Nothobranchius furzeri: one gene and its partner. The protein of the gene in region 2 binds, or shares a complex with, the protein of the main gene of each other region. Links are inferred from orthologs where the notes say so. Each region holds a gene or a part of one and is shown on either strand. Other genes may lie near its edges.

What was found.
Region 1: dhx16 (region 2) and cwc27 share a complex: the UniProt entries of both Homo sapiens proteins name them as parts of the minor spliceosome. The link is inferred for Nothobranchius furzeri from reciprocal best matches to the Homo sapiens genes DHX16 and CWC27.

The regions. Positions count from the first base shown.
Region 1 is NC_091746.1:63,256,973-63,261,163, forward strand, and holds the start of cwc27 (spliceosome-associated protein CWC27 homolog), read right to left. Parts: upstream 2,929-4,191; 5' UTR 2,618-2,928; coding exon 2,576-2,617; intron 2,229-2,575; coding exon 2,132-2,228; intron 1-2,131. Other genes in the region: ppwd1 (peptidylprolyl isomerase domain and WD repeat-containing protein 1), read left to right, coding at 3,257-3,389, 3,480-3,582. UniProt on the Homo sapiens protein: As part of the spliceosome, plays a role in pre-mRNA splicing. Probable inactive PPIase with no peptidyl-prolyl cis-trans isomerase activity. As a component of the minor spliceosome, involved in the splicing of U12-type introns in pre-mRNAs.
Region 2 is NC_091745.1:60,403,128-60,407,257, forward strand, and holds the start of dhx16 (pre-mRNA-splicing factor ATP-dependent RNA helicase DHX16), read left to right. Parts: upstream 1-1,192; 5' UTR 1,193-1,410; intron 1,411-2,792; 5' UTR 2,793-2,797; coding exon 2,798-2,995; intron 2,996-3,067; coding exon 3,068-3,306; intron 3,307-3,533; coding exon 3,534-3,714; intron 3,715-3,805; coding exon 3,806-3,862; intron 3,863-3,932; coding exon 3,933-4,130. UniProt on the Homo sapiens protein: Required for pre-mRNA splicing as a component of the spliceosome. Contributes to pre-mRNA splicing after spliceosome formation and prior to the first transesterification reaction.

The DNA of each region.
Region 1 (4,191 bases), on a different chromosome or scaffold from region 2:
GACTCCTGGAGTCACTTGTTAAAAGGAACCCAGGTTACAAAACTTTGTGGTTCTTAAAAGATAAATGTTAGTATCAGTTATATTTAAGTGGTGTAAAAAACCTTTTTAATGTCTTCATTTTTATAAAATTTGTAAAAAATAGTTTAACTCGTAGTTCGCGATTGTTGTTAGCGTCACAATGCACTCTGGGTGGTGACGTCATACGGTTGTACCTCGGTTGCACCGGCCGGCTTTGGGACCCTGTAGTGACTGTTAAGCGACATCGACATGTCGTCTGTTCAGCCTTTTCTATTTGAACCAGAGCGAAACATTAATGATGACATCACTGATTATGTTTCACAAAACGAGCATCAAAATGAAGAGCAAGAAGGGCGGGATGAAGCGAGAGCAGGACAAAAGCAGTGGTGTGTGTGCTGCAAATGCGTCTCCATGGGAACCGAAAGGGAGAGTGTTTGTTGTTAAGAGCTCATATTTTTGTCCGCAGAAGTTAACGGTAAGCTGTCGCGTGGTCAAACTTATTCAATTATGAATTGTTTAGGAGAATTTTAGCATCCAGAGCTGTCGTGTGCTTCATAGATGATTAGGATATTCAGTAAAACAACTTTAATCATTTTTTCAGATATTGTATATTTGGAGAACACTGTGTTGCTACACTTACTGCTTGTCTTACTGAAGGGAGAGGTGAATGTTCAGCTTCATCTGTGACGAGTGGCGTGTCCGATGGTTCGCCCAACGTGACAGAAGCGACAGCTGCAGGAGCGGGTTGTCGGCTCAGGAGAGCGTCCAGCGTCTCGTCTCTCTGAGAGACAGTGAAACTCCGCCCATGCCCACTCTGACAAAATGTGCCTACTGGACCAGCTTTATACCCTTACGCCCAGATCACACTGTATGATTTTCGGCTGTCTTTGCCAAATTCCTAGTCCTGAGCAGAATCGTGACAAAAAAAAATACAGTGTGGCCGGCTCTGCGACAACTTTTTGAGCCGTCTCACGACCAAATCAGCTTAAAAAAGTCTTCAAGCATGCTTGAAAACCTGGGACTCCTGTCTGCAACCGACCAATGAAAACACACCTTTTGGGACGCCGCAGCAGCAAGACTCCGCCTCTCTGAGCTTCAGTTTCAATACCCACCAGTTTTTATTTCTGTTAATAGAACAAGTTAAACCAGAGTTATACTAAAATAATTAAACTACCTTTTTTAGACCATCAGATAAATTGTGGACAGAGGAAGCTCTGTGACAGCGGGTGTGAGCTGTCACATGGAGCGGATCTGCGGAGCATTGAAACAGAATTCACGGCAAAAGTTATATAGCAGCGATCTGTGACAGATTGTTACTTCTCTGTAGTTTAGTGGGTTCTTGTGTATAAAGGAGGAGAAGGATGAATGACCAGCTGACAGCTCCGCTGTTTAGCTGGAAGACGAGAAAAGGAGACCTGCAGCCGGAGTCTGACGCCAAAACAAAGGTTTTAAAAACGTAGCTTCCTGTTTGAGAAAGATGAGCTGGGTCATGAACTGACACTAAAACTAAGTGTTTTTATCTTTTCAGCTTTGGGTAGTGACCGAAAGAATGAGATTGGAGATAAAAGCGCCCTAAATGAGTTTTCTCTGCAGGGTGGCTGGGCTCTTCCTTAGAGATAGGGTGAGGAGCTTGATCATCTGGGAGGGGCTCGGAGCAGACCTGCTGCTCCTGCACATCAAGAGGAACCAGTTGAGGAGGATCTAGTTAAGATGCCTCCTGGACACCTCCCTGGTGAGGTTTTCCGGGCATGTCCAACCGGGAGAAGACCTAAAGCAAGACCCAGGAAATGCTGGAGGGACAATGTCATTCACCTGGCCAGGTAACTCCCTAGGATTCCCCTGGAGAAGCTGGCCTTAGTGGCTGGGGAGAGGGAAGTCTGGGCCTACTGCTGCACCCACAACCCGACCCCGGATAAGCAGCCGAAAATGGATGGATGGATGAATGGATAATATACCCCCTTTAACATACATGAGGTTCACTGATATCTGTACTGCAGTAAATATCAATATGTACATATGGATACTTGTATTTTTTTGGAATGCATCATCCACAACTTCTGAATTTCAGATTTTTCCTCCACGGACCGTTTTTTAACAGCACGGTCTACCTTACCTTCCATGCACAGCTGCACAAAGTTCCTGCATGCTTTAGGAGTCTCCTTGGACCACAGCTCGATGTCAATTTCCCCTGCTGAGGTCTTCATCAGCACCTGAAAAGCAGCACAGCAAAACATATCTACATATAAAACTACTTCTCCCTAGCCTAGTGAACTAGACCAAAATCTTTCTTTGCAAAGTTTTTTTTTTTTTGCACAGAAGTTTGCAAAGCAAATAATATATTTATTTTGTCTCGCTTGCCAGGCTAACTTCTCCTACCATCCCGCTACTTCTATGGCACACGCGTTCACCTCCTACTAGCAACATATCAACAACTAGCTGGTAACATATCAACAACTAGCTGGTTTCAACGAAATGTGTATAAACTTTACAAGGAAAAGCTACACTGCATGTTCTTAATGTAAATACAGACAAAATAAAAAGATAGGAAGGCACTCACCTTTCCACTTGTTGGAGGTTCCTGGATATATATGTTACTCATTTTGAAGGTGAATCTGCTTATGTGCTTCGAAAAAAAAACGAAATTCTAATCTTTAACACCTTTATACCTTCAACTCACGTAAAATGTATAATAGATAAACGGTTAGTAATCCTGATAACTGCTTGTACTTTTCCCGAATGTTGCAAATTTCACACTTATCCTCCAACAGCCATGCTAGTGCAGTGTTTACTTCAGAGAACACGGGGGAATCCTGATGTACTACTCTTTTTTATTTAGTATACTCTGCTGTTTATGATAATTATTTAAGATGTTTATATGTTTTCATTTTGAAAATATTTTTTCACGTTCATAACAACCAGCTAAACCGCTAACGACAACATAACATCAAAAACAATCGCAGGCTCAGCCCCTAAAAGTGAAAATGGTTGAATCCACACGATGTTCAGCGTTAATAGGCCCATAGAAACAAAGCATAATAACAAGTTCCGCATTAAGCTTCTATTACACTTAAAATACGAAAATATAATCCAGTTTTATAATTTAGGGTGCATTCTAAAATATTACTTAAAAATTTACAATCTCTAATAAATTTCGCTAAGTTTCTGACGGAGCAAAATTAAATTCAGAGCGCAGCGGAAGTGCCGTAATTACGAAAGGACCACACGACGCTGTGCAGCAATGGCGGAGGTTGAAAACAGTTTGGAGTTAAAACGAAAAGCTGATGATGTTCAAGATGAAGATGGAAATGATGAAAGTACAGACTGGGTTGGACCCATGCCAAATGAAGCATCAAAGACAAAGAAACGAAGAGGTGGGTTAATGACACTGAATTTACCACAATGGTTTGCGCGAATCCACTTTTCAGTAAATCCCGCTAATTCTGGTTCGGTTATTTCTTCAGTCCTAGAATACGAGCGAGTCTACCTGGATAACCTCCCATCAGCTGCCATGTACGAACGGAGCTACATGCATAGAGACGTTATCACACACTTGGTGTGTTCGAAGTAAGTGGAGAAAAATACCGCGGTAAAGTTAGCTTGAACTTGGACGTTGGATATTTGACAGACATTGGTTTACACTGTTAGCGATAAGTCTTTATGCCGTGCACTGAGCACAGCGATGTGCTGATTTCCGAGGACTCGCTATAAGTCCCTTAATTTTGAAATAAAATCCTAATAAAAAAGATCAGATTGAGTGAAATGTGTTAAAACTGTTGTGTCTTGTAAATGTAGTTTAGTAACACATGTCAGAAGTAATTTTGAGTCATTTAGGAAATTATTCTGGAAGTTTAAAAACAATTTTGTACTCGTTTACAAAGGACTACAAATTTGTTGATAGTCCCTAAGCGACCCACCATTCCCTATCGCGAGTCCTCGGAAGTCAGCTAACCGCTGTCTGTACCCAGTGCATGACATGAAGACTAATCGCTGACCGTGTAAACCAGGGGTGTCAAACTCATTTTAGCTCAGGGGCCACATTGAGGGAAATCTAGTCCCAAGTGGGCCGAACCGGTAAATTAAAAAAAACTTCAGATGGTTTTCTTTGTTTTAATACAATCAATATAAAACAAGGCTGTAGCCTGAGGACAGTGTATCCAAAATAGTACAAGTAAA
Region 2 (4,130 bases):
TCTGCATGGTACTAGTGAAGACTCTGTCATTTTTAGATACTCCCACCATGCTGTCAGAGAGGTGCTGATACTAATACTTTTGAAGCCTTCGTGTTTTCTTATGCTTGAGCTAATAAATGGTAAGTCTGAAAGTTCTATCGTATTGCAAAGTATCTGTTCTATATCTAACCAGGACTCATCTAGTGGGTTATCTTGCAACCATCTTGGTATATATTGCAGCCTGTTGGCTAAGAAATAATAATAAAAGTTGGGTAAGTCCAGTCCTCCTCTGTCTTTGGTCTTCTGAAGTGTTTTAAAGCTAATTCGTGGAGGTTTATCCTGCCAAAGGAATTTAGTAATTGAGGAGTCCAGAGATTTAAACCAGTCAGCTGGTGGTTTGTTTGGGATCATCGAGAATAAGTAATTTATTCTGGGTAAGACCATCTTTTTAATTGTAGCAACCCTCCCCATGAGTGATATCGGTAAGGATTTCCATCTTGCAAGATCATCTTTCACTTTCTTTAAAAGTGGGATGTAGTTCAGTTTGGTTAGATCTGCCAGCTTGGGAGAGAAATTAATTCCCCGGTATGTAATATTCCCTGACTCCAATTGTGTATTAAGCAAATTGACAAAAGAGAAATTAATTGGTAGAACTATGGATTTTAACCAGTTTATAGAGTAATCTGAAACTCTTGAAAAAGAGTTTATCAGTTCTATTGAATGGGAGAGAGAGGATTGAGAATTCTGGAGAAAGAGTAAAACATCATCTGCATAAAGACTGATCTTATGTTCTATTTTCTTACACTCTCTATTCTGTTGTTTGATTCTTACAAGTCACAAGTAGTTTTATATTCCTTCATAAAAAGTCAGCAATAAATATTTATTTCCTGATTTTTCAACCACTTGCTAGAGCAAATTATCCCTGATCAGCTTGAATATGCTACATTTCTGCAGAAAATAAAAATGGAGATGTTGGAATATTTTACTTTACAATTTTCAGTATTAACTAATGTTAGCTTATGGTAACTTACACTAAAATATATCCTTAATAAATGAAAGATGAGTACGAGACAGATTTTATGACACGAAGTGGTTTAATGTTCTTGTTGTAGTTCTTCCTATGACCACCGGAAGGCAGTAAGCGCCATGACCTCCTCTACTTCACTCTGTTCTTCCGCTGTTTCCATGTGACGTATTTCCGTTTTTCCCATTGCGTGTTGCAAGCTAAGCTAATAAACGCAAAAATGTGTTGAATTTGTTGACAAATAGAGCCGTAAATACATTAATATCCATGGCTATGGGCTGCCGACTGTTTCCGTTAAGTGCTCTTACAGAAAACTCTTAGATAAATGACGACGTAACTCTCAGTTTTTTTACTTTCAGGCGGATATTTTCATCCCAATAACGTTGCATGAGCGATTTTAAAAAGCGGTAAGTGAATCTAGTGTTTTATTTGTGAGAAACCGTTTTTATAATAAAGTTTTTCATAACAAAAGTCTTTATGAAACCAAAATAACACAGTGGCTGCTCAAATGAAAGGGTCAACTCGACTACTGGATAAATTAGGGAAAGATTGACTGGATAATCAAAACAAAGTAAACGTTTCATAATAGCTTTACGTAAATGGAGTTCAGGTTGGACAAGTACAACTTTGATTTTATTCATTGATCCAGATGTAAGAAAAACTTCTAAACAATTATTTAATACAAGTTGGGAGATTCAAGCTTTCTCAAAAATATCCTAAAAGCTGATCTTCTTTAGAAATCAGCTATAGGTGGTGATCAGAAACACATTCAGCTGAAGCGCTGATAATAAAAAAGGACAACTGGACATTTTCCCCTGTGCATGAACTCACCATCACTAATTCACTCCAGCTATGATTTCCTAAACTTGCACGTTTTTGCCTCCAGAATCATAATTCTGAAGTTATTAAAATAAATTATTAAAATGTTTTAGATTTATCGCACAGTGAGGGCAGGTCAGAGCTGAACAAAAATCAGACTTGGGTATCGACCCCAAAAGCAGAATCAGTGTAAACGTTTATCACGAAAAGATAAAAAAGAAAACAAACCTTTAAAGCTAAAATCACCCATTTAAATGTGTCTTTGCCCTTGTCTAGCAAGTTTATACTGACTCAGACTTGATACTGATGCCACCACAAAAACACAGAAACTCACATTTTTATGCGTTACTCTTATTTCAAAGCTGGAATCTTTGCAATGTATTATTGTTAAATGTAAAATAAGATCAGACACATAAACAATAACATAAGAGCAGCCAGCTGCTTCATTCGCTAACATCAGAATTAACTAATCAACTGTGTTGGTGCTGAGGTTCAGAATCGTTATTAATATTGATTATTTTAGTAAATATTATAATTTCATATCAGCTTTGTTACAAGTAAATTTAGTCATTTTTAAAGTTTTACAGAATCTGAGATTTTATTTGGTTTTAAATCTTCTGTCCTTCCTTCTTTCTTTAAATCTGTTCTTGGTTTGATGTAGTTTGACAGATTTGACCTTTGCCCTTGATCGATGTTAGAAAAGATGTGATGATGGTTTGGGTCGTGATGAATTCCTATTTTTCTCTCTGGTCATCTTAAAATCACATCAGCACCTCTCATATGTTTTAGCATGCGGGTCATTGTGATCTAAACCAGGTGCTGCCATGAAGGGCAGAGAGGGTTCATAAGATCTACGTTCAAATTCTGTCATAAATAATAAAAGTCTGATTTATTTAGGTCATTTTTACTCACACTCTAAACATTTGCACCACTTCACCTGAATTAAAGCCACCTGCTCCTCCCTCGGCAGGCGCCATGGCAAATTTGGAGCAGTGGGTGAACGACCGGCTGCATGACATCCTGGGGTTGAGCGATCGATACGTCCCTCAGTTCATGATCGGCCTTGCTCGGAAAGCGTCAAGCTCTGAGGACTTTGTGAGTCGCCTGGAGCAGACGGGGACCATCGACATCGATCAGACTGTGACAGCGTTCGCGAAGGAGCTTTATGAAAAGGTTTTTATAAAATAGTGCTCGCGGAACCTCGTGTAGAGGCTCGTGTGCTGATCTTTCTCTGCTGTGTTCCAGATTCCCCGTCAGCAGGCTGTCGAGAAGCCGTCCAAGGCAATAGAGCGACAGGCTATCGAAATGGAGAGGAAGAATCGGACGTACACGTTGTTGGAGGACAGTGACAGCGAGAGCGACGAAGTGGCTGCAAGGGAAAAACAGAAAGGAAAGAAGAAAAGTAAAGAGAAAGACAGAGGAAACCAGAAAAGGAACATCAGACAGAAGAAAGACTCGTCGAGTGAAGATGAAACTCTTCAAAGGTTATTTATTCGTTTATTTAGGCTGAGCAAAAACAAAGATAGTCAAGGCAACAAGGCTGGACTGAAAACGGGAGAAAAATCAGCCAAAGAGTAAAGAAAACATTTAAAAAGGTCGAAGAGCAGCTGATCCAGAACCACAGAACATTCTTCATCTCTACGATGTTTTAAATGAGGATCCAAGCTCAGGAACATGAACCTTCATCCTGGTTTGTTGTTTCTGATTTCAGGGGCGATTCTTTCCAGGAGGACCGAACGTCTGTTAAAAGAGAAGATGATGAGGAAGAGGAGTGGGAGAAGGAGGAGAGGGTACGGCTGGAGGACATCAAGGAGAGAGACGCATTTGCTCAGAGGGTGAAAGAGAAGGACAAAGAAAAGACCCGAAACATCGCCGAGCGGACGGACAAGAAGGTGGGAGGAGGAGGATGGCAGCATCCCGACCCGTTGTTTTATTTGTCATCTTCATCCGGTGGAAAATTTTCCTGCTGTGTTTCTCCTGCAGGCTTACGAAGAAGCTCAGAAGCGTCTGAAGATGGCTGAAGATGGTCAGAAGAACATGGTTGGTGCTCGTGTCCCGATCTCCTCCAGCTGCCGAGTTCACGGTGACTGTGTGACTTTTCTGCTTGCAGCTGCCAGAGTTGAGGAAACAATCTCGTCGGGAATATTTGAAGAAGAGGGAGGCTGAGAAGCTGGAAGACCTGGAGGCTGAGATCCGAGACGAGGAGTACCTATTCTCCGCGGATGAACGGACTGAGAGGGAGAAGAAGGATCTGGAACACAAACGCACCGTCTGGGAGTTGGCTAAAGATTACAAGAAGGCCGGTGCC